Linked DNA regions of Rhinolophus ferrumequinum. The protein of the gene in region 1 interacts with the protein of each later gene in a pairwise test. Links are inferred from orthologs where the notes say so. Each region holds a gene or a part of one and is shown on either strand. Other genes may lie near its edges.

Evidence for each region.
Region 2: the proteins of RBBP8 (region 1) and LIMS1 interact in a two-hybrid assay, tested with the Homo sapiens proteins (2 studies listed by BioGRID and IntAct). The two-hybrid records come from large-scale screens. The link is inferred for Rhinolophus ferrumequinum from reciprocal best matches to the Homo sapiens genes RBBP8 and LIMS1.

The regions. Positions count from the first base shown.
Region 1 is NC_046302.1:18,507,552-18,519,087, forward strand, and holds the start of RBBP8 (DNA endonuclease RBBP8), read left to right. Parts: upstream 1-6,484; 5' UTR 6,485-6,616; intron 6,617-11,536. UniProt on the Homo sapiens protein: Endonuclease that cooperates with the MRE11-RAD50-NBN (MRN) complex in DNA-end resection, the first step of double-strand break (DSB) repair through the homologous recombination (HR) pathway.
Region 2 is NC_046296.1:5,783,521-5,794,862, forward strand, and holds the start of LIMS1 (LIM and senescent cell antigen-like-containing domain protein 1), read left to right. Parts: upstream 1-7,104; 5' UTR 7,105-7,191; coding exon 7,192-7,373; intron 7,374-11,342. UniProt on the Homo sapiens protein: Within the IPP (ILK-PINCH-PARVIN) complex, binds to F-actin, promoting F-actin bundling, a process required to generate force for actin cytoskeleton reorganization and subsequent dynamic cell adhesion events such as cell spreading and migration.

The DNA.
Region 1 (11,536 bases):
TTTTAGGACGCAGAAAATGATCTATCTTGGTAAGCGTTCCATGTACACTTAAAGAGAATGTACATTCAATTGTTTTTAGGCCAAGTGATCTACAGATGTCAAGTACATCAAGTGGGTTGATTGTGTTAAACCTTCTACACTCTTAATGATTTCCTGTCCACTTATTCTAACAATAATTGAGAGAGAGTTAATGAAATCTCCAGATCCAATTATTAAATATAATTATGAATTTCTTCTGTTCTCCTTTCAGTTCTATAAACTTTTGCTTCACACATTTTTATTTATGTCATTAGATGCATAAATACAAGGTCTGACAATTAAGTTTATGAACTTGTTGCAACAATGTTGCTAACCTTTTTTGATATCAGAAGGGTTATTCGTTATGAATTTGTACCACCTGGACAAACAGTTAACCAAATTTACTATTTGGAAGTGCTGAAAAGGCTGCCTGAGAAAGTTAGACCTGAACTTTTCACCATAATTCATGGCTCTGATATCACGACAATGTACCAGCTCACACTGCATTGTCTGTGAGGGGGTTTTTCACCAGTAAACAAATAACTGTATTGGAACACTCTCCTTACTCACCTGAAGTGGCCCCAATGACTTCTTTCTTTACCTGAAGGTAAAGGAAATACTGAAAGGAAGACATTTTGATGACATTCAGGACATCAAGTGTAACACAACGACAGCTCTGAAGGCCATTCCAAAAAGAGTTCCAAAATTGCTTTGAAGGGTGGACTAGGGGCTGGCATCTGTGCATAGCTTCCCAAGGGGAGTACTTCAAAGGTGAACATAGTGATATTCAGCAATGAGATATGTAGAAATTTTTCTAGGATGTGTTCGCGCACTTCACTGTCTGACCTTATATGTAGAATTAGGTTTCCTTGCTGAATTAGCCCCTTTATCATTTTGAAAAGACCCTTTTTGTTCTTGGTAATATTCTTTCATCTAACCTATTTTGTCTGGTATTAATATAGCCACTCCAGATGTCTTTTGATTAGTGTTAGCATGGTGTGTCTTTTGTGATCGTTTTACTTTTAACCTATGTGGGTTTTAATATTTTATAAAGTATGTGTATTGGTGGCAGCATATAGTTGGGTTTTGCATTTTTATCCAACCTGACAATTTCTGTGAGACCACTATAGTCTACCTGGGTTACCCCTCTGCTCGCCATGACCTGGAAATTCTGTGGAGGTGATTATAGGGCTCGCCTTGTTCGTTTGCTTTCTCTTAAACAGATAATAGTCTTTGTTAACTGATATACAGTGTTTTGAAAACCATTGTTTTATACATTTTGTTCTTGTTTTTTCAGGTGGTAAGGTAAATCTGATTCCTATAACTCCATCTTGGCTGGAAGCAGAAGTCTTAATGCTTCATTCTTAATGTTATAGTGCCTGCAAACTTCTTCAAAGGAATGTTCTTGGGCTACTAGACCACTTGTCTTGGACAGCCAAAAGTGCCTGGAAGTTTACAAATCCCTGAAGAAGCCAGTAGCCATGACTGGTTCAGGGGAATGAAAACATAGTTCCTTTGCCTCCAAGTGGGATAAACTCTTTCTTTGTGATTTATGCTCTGGAGCTCCTTGGGGCCAGGCTGATGCTAAAGTCATACTTTTGCTTTTTTTTATTCTCCTTTCTAGTCCCGCCTCCCTGACTGGTTTCATATTGGAGCACCTTTCTAATAAATCACTTGCACCTGAACCCATATCTGTGTCAGCTTTTGGAGGACACAAGCTTGCGTTTTAAAATTGTTCTTCTGTAAAATGTCTTTTTGATTGGCTATCTTGCCTTTGCTCCCACATTTTTTGAATTATTCACTTGCCCAAAAAACTTTCAAATAAAAGTGTTGAGCTAAATAGATATTGAGAATATATCCAATCAAATTCCATCATTTAATAAATGAAGCAACTGAGGCTCAGAATGTTAAATAAATAACTAATCCATGTTTACATACCCTAAGAGTAACTGAGGCAAGCTCAAAATCAGGTTTCTTGATTTGGGCTTATTCAGATAAAATATGCTCTTAATTTCATAGTGATCCTGTTTTACTAGCTGTTGGATAGTATTTTGCAAACACTTACTTATGAATATTGGCAGACATAAATGTGAACACTTTTTTCTGCAGGTGCAAGTTTGTACTTGTAACAGTTTTATTGCCTTCCTCATTTTATGATCTTTGAACATTAACCCTTGGTGAAAAGTGAATGTAACACTTGCAATTTAAAAAACTTTTAAATTTAATTCTCATAGTAAAAACCAATCATATTCACATCTTCTCTCTCTCTCTCTCTGTCTCTCTCTCTCTCTTTCTTTCTCTCTCTCTCTCTCTCTCTCTCTCTCTCTCTCTCTCTCTCTCTCTTCTCTTTCTCTCTCTTCCCTCCTCCTCCCTTTCTTCTTCCCATCCTCTCTCCCTCTGTCTTCCTCTCGCTCTCTTTCCTTCTTTCAGTCATAGGCAAGATGATTTTAAAGTAAAAATCACAGTCTCCATAACTTACTGGTGTGCAAGGACCCTATTTGGTGCTGTGGTCTTGGGACTGGTGGCCATGTTGAACTTTAAGCAAAAAGAAGTGGAGACACTTCTGGATTCCATGTTTTCATCTTTCTTAATTTACTCCTATTTCGTAGCACATCATTTAGTAGTTTCTTAATTTTACTTTCTGGTAGATTTCTTCAACTTTACCTTCCAACTGCTGTTGACTTTTTATTTCTGCTATCATATTTTTTACTCTCCAATACCTTTTTTATTCTCCAAAAGTTTCACTGTTAGACAGCCTTCTGTTCTTGTTTTATGTAATCAGTACTTCTAGGTTTTTGAAGATATTAATATAGGTGGGGTTTGTAATTATTATTATTCTCCCTACATTGACAATTTTCTATAAATTCTTTTTATCTCTTGGTTCCTTTTTTGTCTCTTTCATGTTAGGTGTTCTCTATATCTTAGAATGAGGCATAAAAATGCTCTCTGTGTCTAGGTGGGATTTATTTATTTATATTAGGGTGATGTTGGCTATAGGCTTAATATTAGGCTAGGGTTTCTCATCTTTGGCGCTATTGACATTTTGAATTGGATAATTATGTGGGGGTTGGGGCAGGGAGAAGGGAGGACGTGCTGTCCTGTTCATTTTAAGACGCTTAATAGCATCCCTGGCCTCTGTGCAGTAGAAGCCAATGGCATACCTCTGCCCTCCACACCCTTCACACACAGTTATTTACAATCAAGAATTTCTCCAGACATTGCCAAATGGCCCCGTGGGTACAACCATGCCTAGTTAATAACCACTGCATTAGGGTGAGGAGAGTTTTGAAATTTTCTTGGAGAGAATTTCTCTAGTTTCCTGCTTTCTGAGTGAGGAGTATGAACCTGGTTACTGGCATTCAGAAGCCAAGCAGAGGTATGGACCTGGGCATCTCACCACTCAATATAGAGACTTTGACTTAATCTCAGTGGTAGGCAGGATACAGCCTCTCAAAGATGTCCACATTCTAATCTCCTGAACCTATGAATATGTATGTTACATAACATGGGGAGATTATCCTGTATTACACAGTTAGACTTAAATATGGAAGAGGAAGGCAGCAGAGTCAGTGTTAGAATGATGCCATGTGAGAAAGACTTGACTGGCCATTGCTGGCTTTGAAGATGGAAGGGAGCCATGAGCCAAGGAAGGCAGGCAGCCTCTCAAAGCTGGAAAAGACAAGGAAACAGATTCTCCCCCAGCGCCTCCAGAAAGGAATTCAACCCTGCTGACACCCTAACTGTAGCAAGTAAGACCCATTTTGGACTTCTAACCTCCAGAACTGTAAGACAATAAATTTGTGTTCTTTTAAACCACTAAGTTTGTGGTAATTTGTTATAGCAGCCATAGGAAACTAGTACAATCTCATTGCTTTCAGTGTAGTACTTTACCATTCGCCTTCATCTCTGCCTGGTATTTTCAAGTCTAGAACCAATCTGGGACAATCTCTCCCAGCATGAATCAACAAGTCCTGCCTGTCTTTTGTCAACCAATCCTTCCATTTAAAGCCTTTCCCCAAACTCCCCCAAACCATTTAGAGATGCCGCCAATTCCAGAAGTTTTCTAGGATTCTGCAGCAAAGATAGACTTTCTTTTATCATTGCAAGTAGACTTCCTCTTTCTCTATTCTGCTAAATCAGTCATCACCTATGCACATTCCTTCTTCCAAAATTTATGGACATCTCTTGTGTGCTACCTCTCTCATTCTGTTTGATCCTTAAGAGTTCATGCTGTTTTTGTTCTTTGCTATTTACTGTTTTGGTCATTGTAGTGGGACTTTAAGAAATAATGAAAAAAACAACCATGTCAACTACTGTTTAACTACAGTTTTATTTTTAGCTGACATTTTATTGGGTGCTTATTGTGTACTAGATTTTTGGATAAAGCCTCATGTGAATTATTTTATTTGAACCATAGAATAACTCTTGGAGATAGCAACTATTACTTTCACCCACATTAAGTAAATAAAATGAATGCTTGATTCAGGTGACAAAGCTAATATGGAACAAAACTAGGAAGGAACCCATTTTTCTGACTCCCAAGTCCATTTTCCTAACCAATCTTGTTAATTTTCACCAGTTTCACTCTTGAGCAGTTGTCAGCAAACCATGGCCCATTGGCCAGATCCAGCCTGTCACTTTATTAAGTTTTATTGGAACAAAGCCACACCCATTCATTGACTATTGTTTACATCTCTTTTTGTACTACCATGTTAGAGTTCAATAGTTGAAATAGAGTTCAATAGTTGAAACAAAAACCCTAAAATATTTACTCTCTGATCCTTGTGGAAAAATTTGCTAAGCCCTGCTCTAGAAAATAACATTATTATTAAGTTTTCAGGTCATGGTGTCCTCAAGTACTTAAAACTTTTATTACTGTATCAAATCAAAGGCATTCTTTTCATTGTTCCCTCAACCTTTTGTTATATTGCAGATATCAATCTTTGATCACGGTTAAGAAAGGCTCTAAACCCATCTCCTTTGTGCAGTTTTTCCCCTATTCAGTCATATTTGCTCCCTTTTCTGTGCTCCTGTGTACCTAATGCAGTTTGATTCACATAATAGTTACTAGTTGTAATTCCCCTTGGATCTAGCAAGTGCTGGTGTTGAGTAGATATTTACTTAAGCATTTATTAAATACTTTCTAAGTGTTGGAGTTTTAGACACTGGAGACACAAAAACAAATGGCAACTTTGGATTAATATGTATCCTATTTAATTAAGTACAAAAAAATAGAAAAGAAGCAGGAGTCTGGGCCTGTGGTCCCTGCAACAACTGCAGCATAATCACAAGTGCTTGAGTAACACCCTAGACCTATTAGTAACACTCCACCCCGGACGAAATCTCTGGAGGTGAGACCCGGTAATTTGTGTTCTTAATCAGCATTTCAGGAGGTACTTAAGCAAGGAAATTTGAGAATCGCTGCATCAATAGATAGAAAAGACTGATTTGAAATGTGCAAGTATTATGACAGAGTAAGAACAAATCTCACATGGTCTCCCTTAACACAAACCAATTTCCATCAATATATGATCTTGTGTTGCTCATTCCTTCTTTCCAAAAGATTCCTAGACATGCTTATCTAGAAATTTGGACAGTCCTCCCACCTCTTACTAAATGTGTCTTTTTCATCATTGTAACCCTGTACCGGGCACAGCTTCTGGCACCTAGTAGATATCAGTAATTTGTGTTCAGCTGTTGCATATCCAAAGTAAAACCTCTCCAAGTTGTCCTAGTATATAGAAATAGGAATTTTTCCAATTTTAGACTGGGATGGTATAAGGATCTTTTGAGTACAAGGAAGATTAACACACCCAGGTAAATGTTTAGTCAATCTCCATCTTGTTTTCCTCCCTCTGGAAATGCTTCCTTCTAGCTCTCAGGGCCACTACTCTTGTGGGAATATCAACCTCCACGTTAAGGCTAAGCTAGACTGAATAGAGCCAAGTGGACTAGTGGAAAAGGTTAAACACTATAGGTTCTTCATGTAGATATTCTCCTTCTAGAAGCTTTAGCGTGCAGAGCCCTAGAGTACATTTTAAAAAGGGTTACCTACCTCGGAGAACGATAGATACTCACGGAGAGGTTTATAACAATGGACTCTTGCTATACCTGACACAGATCTACCCCTCCCACTAGAACTCTGAATTATTTTGCTGGAGGCTACAACATTCTGAGCAGTTTATTGGAAGTTGCAGGTGGGGATAACTCACCCAGTACAAGCTTAGCAGAACTGAGCCGCTGCAGCTTGTTAGGCTAGCCTTTGATGCAGACTGGTTGGACAGGTTCTGGACCTACAGAAGAACCGGTTTGACTGGCCTGTTATGCCAACATATTCTGGTTTGATTCCATGTTCCACAGACGGTAGAAACCTGCCCAGCCAGTTAAATGAAAGACATATTAGGTTATCCATTGCACACTGTATATAGCTTAGATGCAGCACAACTCTTCCACATAGCAGTAGTGTCTAGTAAACTCTAGCGTGGTCCAGCGAGGTGGCTTCCACTGATTTACTGTTTAAGTTCATAGCTTCAGGGAAAGTCAGCAGTGAAACACCTGCTTTTGACCAAGAGCAGAGGGTTTCTAAATAAATTGAAGGGTAAGTTAATACATTTTTTTTTATATATTTCTCAGTATTCTGTGCACTTTTGGAAGGTTAAATTAAATGATGTTTTAAGATGTCTATTTTTAATATGATAATAACTGCATTATACCTTTTATGTAAAACTGGTTCTATATGGTTTTGTAACACTTGCATATATGTTCACTGATTTGTTTGGATAAAGGTTATTTGGTATATAATACACTTTGGCTATACCTTTTTGTAAGTTGGGCATGACTTGGGCATACAGTCATTTAAAAAGCTGAGTTGAACAATTTTGCTAAATATATTTCACCTATTAATGATTCACCTTAAGCCATCTACTTCTTTGATAATGTCCTATTATGTTTTATAGACTGTTGCTACACAGGAACAATTTTATATGATAAATCTAATTGTGGATGAAATAATAATTGCTTTTTTAAGGTGCAAAGAAAAAAATGGTGTTGGCTTCCTTGGTGATCCTAAGTACATTAGAGGAACAATTCACAGCAAGAATTGAGGAGTGTGGAAAAAAAAAAAAAAACATTGTGGAATCTGGTAACTGATTAACTATTGGAGCTCAAAAGCACTTGCTGAGCTGAATAGAAAGGAATGAAGACAGGTTTTGTCATGCCTTATTACATCCGAACAACTTTTGGGGTTAAAGAAAATTTGTATCTTCCGTTCCCTTATATTATATTTGAAAATAATTATTTTATGTCTCCCTTTCATTGATCCGATTAATTTATGTTAGGAGTTTGTGTCATTTAAAATGAAAGTTACCGATCCCTTTAGATTTATTTTGGCATACCAAACTACCCCCTTAGTATTAGGTTGAATTGAACGCATGCATCTTCTTGGCATTCAATTTAATGTTACAATTTACACATGAATTTATTTGGAAATTAAAATAATTTTTTTAACAGATTTATACTGAATATTCTCCTGTCTAAAGCTATTTGTAAGCTATCTTAATATAACTTTGCCTTGAGCCTAGCAAGACTGATGCACACTTTTCATTGTCACTAGAGTTCTTACTTTGTCATTGTATTCACACTCAAAGGCTATAAATTTCTTTAGAATGCTAATAAAGAATTTTTTAAGTGAGAATAAATATTCAGATAAGATTTTTTTTTTTCTTTTCTTTTCTTTTTTTTTTTTTTTTGGCAAAACCCTTTGGATGCTTTTTCACTCCAAAGCAATTCTGCATAAAACTGCTGATAATTCAGCTAAACTTCTAAAAAGCCATGTAATGTTGAATCTGCAAAAGGAATGTGCTGATTCAGCAAACCAAAATTAATTTTATTCAGCATAAGCTGTATTCTGACGATTTGAAGGAAATATGGATCAAAATTTTTAGTTGGGTGAAATTTTCTCTTTTCAGGTAAGATACAGACATGTCAACAGAGTATACTTTTAGTGTTTTTGGTGACTATATTATATATGGTAATTAAAAATTTTTAAATCATATAGTGTTTAAAATACAGGGCTTACTGTTTGAAAATAAACTTAACTTGGAATTCAAATTTATTTATTGAGCATTTTTATATCTATGATTTTAAGAAAAGCAATTTAAAAGCTAGAGGTATATTTCATAAAAATCCTTGGGCAAAATTTTAAGGTTAACTCTACATTTTGGAGAGGGATTTTACAGTTTTCATTTAATAGGATTTTCCGTTTCAAATATATGAAAGTGCTATTAAACATGAATTTTATGTATTTCCATAAATCGATTCCTTTAAAATATTCATACATTGTGATGTTTTGATTAAAATTAAGGATATACGGATTTATCAATCAAATTAGGAGTGTGTGTGTGTGTGTTTGTGTGTGTGTGTGTGTGTGTATTTTGAATGGCCCTAAATTATCTCAGGGCCAGGGTCAAAAATTGTTCTACTCATTTAAAAATCTTTCAATTCTTTAAGTCTCATTGGATGAATTCCTTTATTCCTAGCGACACAGTTTCACACAATGACTGTTTTTGTCAACAATGTTAGCTTTCTTAACAACAGTAACCTCTTTCCTTCCTGAATATCTGCATGGGTTTCCTGCCAAAAGCACTTAGAATCCTAACATTTTTGAGCTAGAAGGACTCTTAAATATAACTAAGGAATCCAACTCCTCATGCTTGAGTTGAATGAAAAGCCCCAAAATGTAGGTGAATCACCACTATATAACTTAAGGGTCGCTCTGGCACCAGAACATCTCAGTTTCCTGAATACCAGCCCAGACTAATAGTGGTTTTTTTTCACTACCCTACATTGACTCTTCTGAATGCTACATGAAATCTAATCTGTTTTCTAAAGGATTTGTAAAAAGATAAAATTGTATTGTAGAGTTATGTTAATGTGTCTTTGCTGAACTAAGAAATTATTTGTTTTTATATCTTAATCTATATCATTATTGTCCCCAAACTTTTTTTGTCATAGTGGCTAAATTTATGGAGTTACCATTGGTAATGAAGGTGACTACCACTTCAAGCCCTTAATCTCTTAATGCCATCATAAAATTTTGTATCAAACTGACACACTCCTTAATATTTCCTTCATATTCCCCTTCAAGTTTGAGGATCTTGCTGTCGTTTTCTGACTTAATATTGCTTTAAACTATCTCGACTGTTTATTTTCTTAGTATGCATGTATTCTTGTATTGTTTTAGTCACTCTTATGTTGATATAGTTTAGGATTTTTGCCTAAAAAGTTAGTACATCTAAAATTTGGTTAGAACTGACAGGAAAGTTTCAGTAAGGTTATGAAGACCAGAACTGCAGGATTCAAAACCCATGTCTGAGATGATAGAACTTGTTATTTAAGTGGTGAGCTCTTAATACAGTGCTATGCTTATAATTGATCAAAAATTCTTTGAATGTTTTTAACTTCAGGAATTCCAAGGAAATGGGCCTGAGAACAAAAGTCTCAAAATTTTCAATTCTAACTCCTGGAACTAAATGTTAATTTTCCTAATCCCCTTATCTTTTCACAGGGAAAATCCTACCTGAGGGATGCTTCTAAATTTGGTAAATTTAGTTCAGTCCAAGTGGACTCTGGAATATAATCACCTCCATTTGTTTCTTATCTTTACAGACAAGAGCAAGGGTAGTATATTGAAAAATATAAAGGTTTTTGAGATGGGTTTCGATATTGACTCTGCTGCAAACCAGTTTACCCTTGCGAATTACTGAACCCTCTGAATTCTCTTTTCTCCATCTCTAAGTTAGGGAAACTAATACCATTCTCTAATAATTGTTGGAAGAATTACATGATCTATGATGTATAAAACGCCTAGCACAGTTCCTAGAACATAGTGGGTGCAACAAATGTCAATATACTTTCCACCCCATTAATAGAATGTATAATAAATTTCAACAAATAGCTTGAGTAAGCGAAGTCAAAGCTTAACTTAGAACATATATTTTATTTTTGTCAGAGAGATAAAAATTAAATCAGCAACCTTGGAAAGCATTAAGATCTAATATCAGAAAATAGTTTAACCTTATTAAATTAGAAACCCATGTAATTGAATCCACTTAAAGAGTCAAGAAGCCTTTGTTAAACATATTTGAGAGCAATACACTAATTAAAAGGTTTAAATAATTTTTAAAAATTCAAATTTCAATCATCTATACCAAAGAAAGGAACTATGGCATACATAGACCAAATTACACCTTACTTGTGCCTAGTAACTGAGTTTTTCAAGGACATTTTATATCTATTTATATCTATTATCTCATATGACATCAAATTATTTGTCCAAAGATTTCTATATGCTCAAAGGATTATGCTCTTTCTACTATAAATTGAATTCTTCAGGGCTCTAGAATGTTTTTTTCCTCCAAAAGATTCTCTTCCAAATTAAATTTATTGTAGGTCAATATTAAATTGTATTGCATTTCCTTGATAGGAAATGATAAGGAGGGTGAGTCCAAAATGTTTTGGGTGTAATACGTAAGGTAGAATAGAATTTAACATTTTCTAAAAATAATATTAAATTAGCTTCAGACCCATTTGTTGATTAGGAGATGGAGCCAATGAGCAAAGTTCACATGCAACATACGTATTTATGAAATGTATGTCATCATCAGAAGGTAGTTCAAGAGCTAAGAGCAGGAACATGGTTATGACTTGATATTAGAACCAACAAATGGATTCACAAACTGATCGTATTGAGCTCTTACAAGATGCTTAATTGCTATACAAATAAGCTTAGTACTGATAATATAATTTAAATTTATATCCATGGAAAATAAATTTCTTTTTCTCTTAAATTGAAAAGTTTGTATGTAGATGGTATATCTAAAGACAAAAGTACCACTTACTAGTTAAGCTCACTAATTATACATTCTTATTAAAACTATTTTATTAGCTACATAAGCAATTTAATCTTACATAACTATTAATTTGCATTTATTTTCACACATTTGGATATTACTATAAACAATTGAAAAGAAGGCAGGGAGTAGTAACATAAGTTTAAAATATATATTTTAAATGTTTCTACATAAATACAGATGCTTCTCAGCATATGATGGTGTTATATCCCAATAAACCCATCAAAAGTTGAAAATATCATTAAGTCGAAAATGCATTTACTATCACACTGTAGAGTAACAGTTGCTTACCCTCGTAATCACATCACTGACTGGAAGCTACAGCGTGCTGACGTGCCCAGCATCAAGGAGTCAGTATAGTACTGCTTTTTGCTAGAAAAGTTTGAAATTCAAAATTCCAAGTATGGTTTCTACTAAACAAATTCACATCGCTTTCACACCATCTTAAGGCCGAAAAGTCAAACCATGTAAATCGGGGACTCTCTGTAGCTAATTTAAATAATTCAGGACAAACAACCAAATTTGCTATGCATCAAAAATGAACTGAGAAATAGAGAATGTTATAGCTCATCATGTTAAAGACATATAGCCTTAAAAATGATCATAAA
Region 2 (11,342 bases), on another chromosome or scaffold:
GTCAGGTCGGCTATGTTTGTGCAGGGCGGGAGGGGGATCACGAATCTTGAACTCTGTTTTCTCTGCATATGGTTCAGAATGCCTCTGGATAAAATAGACCTGGATAAACAGAGTGTGACGGAGAAAGGGGAGAACACGGTGATGAGCTTTATTCTAGTCTCTCTCCGCCTTCCCCAGACTCCGTATCCTTTACACTCTGAAGTCTTTTGTGAATGCGGCTGGTGGGTTGCATAATGTTGGAAATCTTTTCTAGAGCTCATCCCGAGTGAGTGAGGTACTTCCCAAGAAGACACAAGCTGCTAAATGGGCTGTCGATACTTGTGACGTTGGTTAAGATTCAGTAACTGAACTATTTTTTTGCAGTAATTTGTGCCTTGGGGGGGCAGAGGATTTCTGAGCTGCGGAGCCCTTCCGGGGCTGTTCGGTGTTACAGACCCCTGGGGCCAGCGGCGGGGTGCGTGCAGCAGGCGCCCCTCTCCTGTGTGCCTTGTGTTACCTCCCTGTGGGCTTGGAGAAGGAAACCATGGCATTTTCCCTCAGACACCAGAGGAGGGATTTGTATCACCTATTTTACTAGAAACACTGTATTTTAATTGTTGATTTTAGAACTAAAAATGTGCCTTCTGGTTTACTAACTGAAAAGTTTCAACCAGAGATTAAATTGTGTTTTACTTATTTTCTTTATGAGGGATATGGACACTCTTCTTAAAATATCACGGAGATTGGGGTGCTGTAAATCTGTCTCCAGCACCAAAGATAGTCTAACTTTAGGTGAGTTGCCTTTCACAGGTGTAACAGTCAGATGCAGCTAGCCTTCTCTGGTCCTCGCCTCCTTGTCATGCCCGATTGTTCTGGGAGGAGCTGGCGCCCTGGGGAGGGCGGTTGCTGCCATAGAGGGAGATAATTCCACACTCTTTTCACCTTCGTTAGGTGATGAAGTTTTTCACTTAGCCTCTTCAGTTATTTCTAACGTACTCGGCCGGACTTCAGAGGCTCTTCCCTGCTTTCATCACGATCCTGAAAAGCAACGCCAGTGCAAGCAGATAACAAATGTGCAATTTTCTTCATTTTAAATTTGTTTGAGAAGATGTGCACCTCATTCCTCTCTTATTCTTGCCCCTATTGTAATGAATAATTTCTTTTTCCTTGTGCAATCAGGAATTAGGAAACAATTTAAACAGACAAGGCAAAATGGTATATTAGTTACAATTCCATTTCCTTTTCTGGCCAGGCTTTGTCTCTTTCCTCACTGTCTGTTTAACGAAAACACCGTGCATTTTTCCTGGAAGCTGGGGAATGAGAAAGAACTTTCCAGCTCCATTATCTTCACTTCCATGTCATGAGTGTTTTGTTTTTAGTAGCAGGGGAAACTCAGATTAAATTTTCCATGCGAGTACGATAGAGAATCACAGTGAAAATAATTTATTTTACCATATGGTAATTTAACCAGGCCATCTCAACAATTTGGATACTACCCCATTCATGGAAACCTTTGACTGACATTGGAGAAGCTTCATTCTAGTAGTTGTTATTGCCAAGTGCTTGGATTAGCCATCCACATACTTAAATCTTTCTGGAATGCTACAAAACATTGAATAGCCATTTTCCCTATATTAGAGTCCCATGTTTTAGAGACAATTGGTCATAATGTTCAGCATGGGTTTTAAAAACCACATAGATGAAATATTTGGTAGTGGAGCGTGTAATTCAGTAGTTGCTATTTGAGAGAATTTTAATTTAAAAATACCAGGTATTAAAAAGTAGATTTTTAATTTTGGCAGCCATGTTCATGATTATGAAGGCTGAGCTCCTGGAAATAGCTGCAGTTTATTTTTGTATGATAGCTCTCAGTAGATTATTTATTTTTGGTTATGTATTATGTCAGGGGTGGAATTTGTTTTGGCAGAAATCGTGGAGTTAGCTGGACTGATGGAATCTGAAGCCTGGCAGCATTCTTTGTTGGATGCTAGAATGGTCAGTGTAACATCAAATATGCTGTGTGTGGTTTGGCATCTAACAAGCTGTTAGGTGCACTCAGCAAGGGTCCCAAGTCCTGTCTGCTATGGCCTGAATGTTTGTGTTCCCCCCCCCCCCCAATTCATATGTTGAAGTCCTAACCCCTAAAGGCGATTGCCTTGGGAGTTGGGACCTTTGGGGTGCTTGGGTTACAAGGATGGAGCCCTCATGAATGGGATTCATGCCCTTCTAAAAGTGGTGTTACAGAGATCCCTAGCCCCTTCCACCATGAGAAGGTGCTGGTGATGAACCAGGAAGAGGAGAAGAGAGTCCTTCCCAGAACCTGACCATGCAGGGGCCTTGATCGTGGACTTCCAACCTCTAGAACTATGAGGGATAAATTCGAGTTGTTTATAACCAACGTAGTCTGGTGTTTTGTTTTCACAGCCTGCATGGACTCAGACACTGCACAGTACATAATGAGAAAACGATTGCTTCAGTACGTGGTAGAGTGTAGGATGCAGATGATGAGAAAATGTTAAGTTTGTGAAATATAAATTCCTCTACTTTGGTGGATTTAAGGGATGTTTGGGGTTCACAGCTGTCCTGTGTGATCTCCCAAAGACCCAAATTAGCCATGGTAATGAGGAGAGTTTATCAGATTATAGAATCTCTTGAGAAGAACCCTTAAGGAATCATAGGCCTTAGGAAACTCTACTTCTTCAGCAAAAAACACCTAACAGGCCTTCTGTTCAAACAAGAATGGCTTGTTTGGTATTTTTTTAAAAACAGCCTCCCAACCTACTTCACGGGGCTGTTTGATGCCACTGTAGTGGGACTAGTGGTTTCAATCAAGGGAGTTCAAATAAATATTTTTCTTATGGATTGTTTGTATTTGTTAGAGCTATATTAAGTGCCAAAAATGGTTTAAAAGTACCCAAATGCCTGGATATAAAACTTGAGCAATGGTGTTTATTTGGCCTCAAATTACCCTCTTGTCCTCTTGGAAAAATAACACATTTCTTTTAGCTCTGCTTTATGGTAGTTGGATAAGAGAAGTGGATGACCAACTGACACCCCTATATGAGGTGTGATCACAAAATACGGTGAATGTTTAAATAAAAAAATTATTACAGTAAAAGACACATTGCCATTAATCCCCCTCTAAATACACCTCCTTGCTTCGAACACACTTATCCCATCGTTCCTGCCACTTTCTGAAGCAGTTCTGGAAGTCCACTTTCGTGAGGTCTTTACTTCATCCTCCTTCATGACAGTACTTCATGTCACACATCGCTTCTGGTAGAGCAATTTCTGTCAAATAAAAACATGACGGTGTGTCCTCATCCACCTTATTCACCAGATCTGGCACCGTGAGACTTCTGGCTCATCCCCAAAGACAAAATGACTGTGAAAAGAAAACGTTTTGAATCGATTCAGGACATTGAGGCAGCCATGGCAGCACAACTAAAGACACTTACAACCCCGAACTAAGAGCTATTTAAATGGCCTTCAGTGGGTAAATGGTTAGAGAAACCATGCTATGTGCATACCATGGAATACTACTCAGCAACAAAAAGAAGTAAGCTATTGACGTGTGTGTGTGTGTGTGTGTGTGTGTGTATGTATATATATACACACAGTCAACTTGGGTGGATCTCAAGCGCAATATGCTGAGTGGGAAAAGCCAACCTTCCAAGGCCACATATAGTATGATTCCATTTATGTAATTGTCTTAGTCAGTTTGGGCTGCTATAACAAAAATACTATAGACTTTATGGCTTAAAGAACAAATAATTATTTCTCAAGATTTTAGAGGCTAGGAATTCTAGGATCAAGGCCCCAACAGATCTGATGTCAGATAAGCGTCTATCTACCTCCTGGCTTATAGACAGACAGTTACTCTGGCTGTATCATCATGTGGCCCATGGAAAGTGATCTGTGTCACTTCTTCTTATAAGGGTATTAATCCCATCATTAGGGATTAATGTCCCACTCTCCTGACCTAATCTAACCCTAATCACCTCCCAGAGGCCCTATCTGCAAATACCATCACATTGGGGATTAGGCTTTCAACATAGGAATTTTGGAGAGACACAATCAGTTCACAGCAATAACATTCTCTAAGTTACAATTACATAGATGAAAAACAGATTAGTAGTTCCAGGGGTTAGGGATGGCAGGGTGGGGGGGGGGTGTGACTATCAGATAACATGGGAGAAATCTCTGTAGTGATGGAATAGTTTTATATCTTGATTAGGGTGGTGGTTACATGTATCTACCCTATACACACATTGTACCAATGTCAGAATCCTGGCTTTGATATTGTACAATAGTTAGGTAAGATGTAATCACCAGGGAAAGCTGGATAAAGTATACACAGGACTTCTCTGTACAATCTTTGCAACTTTCTGTGACTCTGTATTTCAAAATAAAATTAAAAATTTGATTGCAGTTCTTTCAGATTATTTCGAATTCCTTGGCAGATAAGAGACTACATTGTGTCTTGTATTCGTGAACCATTAGCTTTTTCATAGTTCAGCTGTTCTGTCTAGTAGAAATAAGACCAGTTGTTCCAAAGTAAATAAGATAATTAGTTACATTTTTAGATCTGCTGACTCAAAGTGCTTAGCAGATTGTCAGCTAATTTTCTCTTTCATTGTTTCCATGGTTTGCTAGATCAAGTAAAAGGATTATTAACCCCAGTTCCTTCATCAACAAATAATTATCGCATACCTGCTAAGTGATGGGCTCTATTCATGATATGGGCATGAACAAAACAAGATTCCTACCCTCCTGCAGATTACATTTTTTGGCATGTGAAGTGAGGGAGGCTAAAAGAAGGTAGAGAACTTGTCCCCTGCCCTCCTGGATACTGTTTGAGCTGAAAGGAAAGGGGACTCTTCCCATACCTACCTCAGTGTTCTACCCTGCAGTTTGGTATCTCTCAGTAGCATTACCTCAGTGTGGGCAGAATAGTTTGGATCTGATGATGTTTCTGGCAGGAGAAGGAATGTGATTTGCATTTACTGGACCTAATATGGATTAAGAACTGTAAAGACTCTTATAAGGAAAACAAAGGCATAGAGCTTCTTTCCTTAGGTGTGGAGAAATATATTAGTACCGGAGGCACTGATACAGGATGGATTTTATAAAGAGATTAAACAAACAGAAACATTGGAGTCAGATGTCTGAATTTGAATTTGGGACCTCCCACTTACTAGCTGTGTGACTTTAAGCAGGTTACTTAAGCTCTCTGAGAAGGTAATTTCAGTCTTGTTTATTTTTATACAGGGTAAATTAAATCCATATGAAAGCTAATTGTAAACTGGCAAGTTGGAAGGATTATTGTTGAGAACAGAGGGCGGTGGGACTCCCTTGCTTCTTTTTCACCATCAAGACATTGTCTAGACTCTACCCTGCGAAGAGCACATCCCCATGTTCATGGACTTGGTCTCAGTACACTGAAATAGGGAAGTTTAAAGATAATTAAAATAAAGATTGAGTTTTAGAAAGAGGAGTGTCTTAGGTGAGGTAGAAATGTGAATAGAGAAAATAGATTAATAGAGAAGAAGTATTCTGGGCAGGAGGCTTGGATGGCTCCCCTCTTCCTATCATGCTACCCCTAATTCAGTGCATTGTTTCGTGTGTGTGTGTGTGTGTGTGTGTGTGTGTGTGTGTCCATCTGGGTCCATGTCCCTCCGTGTCTTGCTTGCTCCCCTCTATATTCCACATGGTCATTGTAAAATAAGCCTTGAGGTTGTTTCTTTCCTATTTAAAAATGGTGAGTCTTTTGTTCCATCAGCCACAGGCTTTGCACCTCAGCAGGATCCACAGCCTTGGAGTTCCGACCTGTACTCTGAGATCATTGGGCTTCAAAGTGGAAAGCCCAGACCTCATTTTCTGCTTCTAGTCCTAGTTTTACGCTTTTCTAGTCAACCTATTCTGCTTTCCAGTAATTGTGTTTAACCATTTTTTTCACATAGTAATTAACACCTGAGGCTCTAGAATAAGACCACGTAGGTTTAAATCTTGACTGCACCGCCTATGTACTAATTATTCAACTAATTTGTGCCTCAGTTTCCTTATCTGTAAATAATACCTACCTCATAGGAATATGATAGTAAGCACTAACACTTAGATATCGTTATTTATAGTTATTACTTGAGAGTCTCCGCTGCATTTTGTCTTGCTGATGACAAAATGGCTCTCCTATCTCTCGTGTGACCTATCCTGCTCGTCAGTGTACCTTTTACCTATGCTCTAGATTTTCTTGCTCAAGCGCCCCTTGTTACCTTGATTTTGGTGGGATGCGCATTGGTGCTGAGAGCACTGGGACTTGAGAAAGCTTCTGAAGCCTTTTATTACCCATGATCCTACATCATCATCTTCATTGCTGACACTGTTATAAGACCTGTAATGTGGCAGAATAAGACATGCCAGTGGCATCCTTAGTCCTGAGAAAAGACCAAGAAATAGTGGCTCACCTGTTACAGGCTTAGCTGGAGGTCAAATAGAAAGACTTCTAACTAATAAGCTCCGCTCTTCCCTATTACCTCCTGCGTCCGTTCATTGAACACATTATTGACTTCTTACTGCGTCCAAGGGTGAGGATAAATAAGTCAGATGTAGCTCTTAATTTTACTGACTCACAGGGCAGCCATAGGGCACATGCATGACCTGGGCACCGTGGTGCCCCTCAGAGTGTGTCAGCAGTGCCAGCCTCACCGGGAGCTTATCAGGGGCCCCAAATTCCCGGGGGTGTTTTCCACGCTCTCCAATTTCCACGCTTTCCAAGAGATGCTTATGCCCACTGAAGTTGAGAGGCAGAGTGTTCGTGTTGTCGCTGCCCTTGTCGCTGCCCAGCGACAGGCAGCTAGGGCACGTGGCTGTTTCTTCTCTTCGAGGCCTGCCAAGCTGGCCATTCCTGCAGCAGTGAGAACAGACACAGTCCACCTGGAAGGCTGCTTGGCAAAGACTGGGTCACGACTTTGTGGAATATTCTCTAGAGCTCCCAAAACGCCTCAGTAACCCAGGACTGTCAGGACAACGGACTGCTTTCTGCTGGAGCTCTTAACGTGAAGGGTCAGGAGCGACCCTGGCGAGCCTGGGGCTGACGTGTGTGGGCACAGTGGGAGTGACCCTGGCAAGGAAGCGGGGGAGGCCTGGACATTGTTTCTCCGTCTCCTGTCCCGCTGCTCTCAGCCCTGGGCTCCCAGCTCGCAAGCAGCAACGATGGCGTTCCCAGGCAGGGTGCACCCCTCTGTTATCCCAGAGAATGAAGAAATCCCCCAGACAGCCCTGAACGGTATCCACCAGGCTAATGGAAATGAAGACGAGAGGGCCGTGTCTAAACTGCAGCGCAGGCACAGTGACGTAAAAGTCTACAAGGAGTTCTGTGACTTTTATGCAAAATTGTAAGTGTCTCTCTCCTGGAGTTCCCCTCTTCCAGACCTAGCCTTCCTGGGCTTTTAGTTCCCGAGCCATTTGCGGCTTTATTTCCTTGGCTTTCAGCAGGGGCTTTCCAGGGTGATGCAGCATATTCCAGCAGGCAAGTAGGTTGCCTGGCATTGGAAACCTTCTGCTGGATGAAATGCTGATGTGAAAGAAAGTGCTACCTTTAAATTAAGAGTAGGAACGTCTTTGTCTTCTTCAGTGGGTTCCTGATAATAGTACATTTTCATTGTGTAGTCCAAAAGGGAGGGTTAGTTTTTTCATTGTCAGGATTTATAATAGAAAAACTTTATCCTCTAAAACTTCCCCCAGACAAGAGGCAGGTGGGGGAAACTGAAAAATTGAATTGCAGACTGCTGATAAAGATACAGATTTTTATTATGTTTAACAGTCAGCAGTTTGAAGTAGGCCAACTGGGTTTCTTAATACTGTCTCTAGGGGACTGAATGAATAAAAAAGGATGTTGTGTAACCAGGAGATAGATAGACATATAGATAGATACATCATGCGTTCAAGCGGTTAACCCTACAAGTTAAATCTATTCGTTTTACTAAATGAGTTTTAGCAAACAGTTGTGTTTTTTTTTAAATAGTGTAGAGTAATATTTAGACTAACTCATTCAGGTAAGATTGTTGACCTTAAGCAAAGTTGTAAGCTTGGAATTATTGCAAATCCCCAATTTATGAGTTGAGAGTAGAGGAGAGTTTGATTGACCTGATTCTCTATTTCCATGAATGCATTCTGTGTGGTATTGCAACAGATGTCATTTATTTTCACAAGTCATAAAGAGCTCTTTTTAAGAGTAACCGGGCAATTATAATTTCACTGCAACCAGAATGCTTGGTGAACTCTCAAGATGCTGTTTGAATTTACACATTTTTGCATTTTAATAATAGAAAATTTGTTACACATACTTTGATAAATGAGGCACTTAAATAAAAGAAAGCTGATGATGTCAAGTTTTCTGTGTGTGGTTGATTTGTGGAAGTAGATCAGCTAAAACAATTATGACTGGGCAGTTACGGACATTCCGTGCTAAAGGCTTTTATACATGTGTATATCGGTAGGTAGGTAAGTAGATAGATAGATAGATAGTTACAGATATCACAATGTATATAGCCCTTGTCATCAACCCTTTTGTTGAAAATTTTAGTGGAAATTCTTTTCTGAGAAATTGGCCAATTTATTATAATTAACAGCTATAACTATCATTCATGATTGTTTAAAAAGTAACTTGTATTTTGTGTATTAAATATAAAATATGAAAATCAGCTGTAAAAAAATACATAGGTTAATACAGGTTCATCCATTTTAACAAATGTGTCACCTGGGGGGGGATGTTAGTTGCATGGGAGCGACGTGTGTGTAGGGACGGGGGGTGGGGGGGGCATGTGGAGAATCTCTGTGCCTTTCTCTCGATTTTGCTGTGAACCTAAAACTGCTGTAAAAAATAATCCGTTAAAAAAATACATAATGCCAGAGGATCGAAAACAGGAAAGGGAAATGTAAACAGTTTCAGTAGGTTGATGAGATTATTGGTATTTTTTTTCCTGCAAGTTTCCTCTAATGTTCTGTTCCTTTTCTTTTCCTGCTTGTTATAAAAAGGAATACTTCTTCAAAAAATACATATTATGTTATCTCTAAAACTAGTTTATTTTTCCTGTGTATGCGAAAAACCTTTGTGCTTCTTTTTATAACGTGTCTGTTTTCTAATTCTAACTATTTGAGTCCTTGAACTTGAATATAAACAGTCTGTAGTATAAAAGTCAATGATAAACAGTTTGATCTTGGGACCCCTTTACACTTTTAAAAATTACTAAGGTCCCAAAGAGTTTTTGCTTTATCAATATTTACTGCATTAGAAACTAAAACTGAGAAATATTTTAAGTATTAGTTCATTTAAAATAATAAGCCCATTACACAGTAATATTAAATATTAATGTTAATATTTTAATGAAAAGTGTTTCTAAAACAACAAAAGCTTGGTAGGAATTGTAGCATTGTAGCATTTTTGCAAATCTCATTAACGTCTGTCTTAATAAAAGACAGTTTCTCATAACTGCTTCTGCGTTTATTCTAATATGTTGTTTTAGATTAAAAGTATATAAAGAAAACACAGTCTACCACAAAGATGTAGTTTGAAAAGGAATGACCTTTGAACCCCTTAAAAAGGTCACAGTGTCCCCTAAGTTTTGAGAACCACTGACCTAGGTAATAATGAATCAGGACATTCTGGAATGGTCTTCTTTTCTAGCTTTTTTGGAGTTCTATTAAAATCATTGAGGTTTTGGTGAATCCAAACCCTTTTGAGAGAGTTTTAAATGAATAAAAATGCTTTATATTTGAGTAGCCTTTTCTGGTTTCCAAAGTGGTTTTATATACTATTTCTTAGTTCATCCTCAAAACTAAGAATTATCAGGGCAGGTATGGGCTTACTATACTTTCATCAAGCATGTATTTTGTGGATTTTCATCAGAAGAAAAGAGGAAGCACAAACCTTCCCAGAGCTTTGCTAAAACTTCCATAATTTATCTGGCTTATGGCAAAGCCATGTGAAGAAGGGAATTTTACAGATTTTTCTCCCTAACCTACAGTAATTTTGAAATGACAGTAGAAAATTCCTTTTAATATGTGATTTAGGCCAGGTTTGCCAAGCAATGAGGCTGCTTCCCTTCCTCCTTTTCTCCTTTTTTTTGGGGGGGAGGGTGATTTTAATTCTATACTGAAGCCTGTCAAGCCTAAATTAAGCCTAAAATTGAGTGTTGATTGGTACTAGAGTGTGAATATGGTGCTAAGTTAAGGCAAGGCTACAAAATAGGAATACTGTTCTTTGAAACTTTTGGGGAAGAAGGCCAAGTTGCCCTCCATTGGGGTAAGGTGGAGATGAAACAAGGTATGTGCGAACACTTTTGCTAAAGAAGCAGCAAAACTTAGAAACTGGTAAGAGACAAGGCAATTAATCTGTCCATAAAATGCAGACTCGCCTGCCCACTTGCCTCACAGGGAGGTTGTGAAGATCCAGGAGAATGAAGGCAGTACCTGTACAGGTGGACTGATTCAATGCTGGGTGGGTCAGAAGCTGCCCCAGGGGACCAGACACATAGGTAGAGTTTGCACTCTGAGTGGGCATCTGAAAAGAAACTTGCCAAATTACGAAGGACGGCTTAGCCAATGACTACTCTGCTTAGGTGACCTTCTCCACTTGGAGACCTTCCAGAAACAAAACAGTTCTTTACGTGAAGTTCAGAGGGCCTATTAGAGAATAACTAATTATCTGATTATATGCTTTTCTTGCAAAGTGCACAAATCTTGGGACCATTTATTGGATGCCTCCTGAGTAGAGTGGAATGACTGGCGAGGGAGTTACAAGTCATTGGGCTCATCGTCAGTAACTTGATGCCTGCTTTTACTTTCTTCATTGTAAAGTGTGGTGGAGTCCCTATCATGTCCTTTCAAGTGTTTGAAATTGATTCTGTATTCCAGTTGTGATTTTGAGTGGGAGACCTGGATTCTCATCCTGTAGCTTCCCTTAACGAATTACTAGCTTTGTGGGGTTGGGCCAGTCACTCCACTTCCCTGAACTTACATTTCGTCATCTGTAAAATGATTGTCATAATGGTAAAATTCTTTGATTTTAAGATGTATTTTATAATATTAGTATTCAATACTTGTCTTGTCAATTAGATTATAGGACTGAGGGATTTTGGCTGGTTTTAAGAGTTACTTAAGCAGTTGCTTTCAACAGGATGTAACCAAAGGGATCATCTGTGTCTATGCTATGACATGGCATTCAGTTGACGTGGTTTAGATTCTGTTCTCAGAAGGGAGAGAAATTGGCTTTGAGATTCTGACTTGTGGGTATTTTAATTAAGCTTCTTTTCAAGCTGTAAACTCGAGCTCCATGAGGGCAATTCTTGACCTTCATCTCTCTC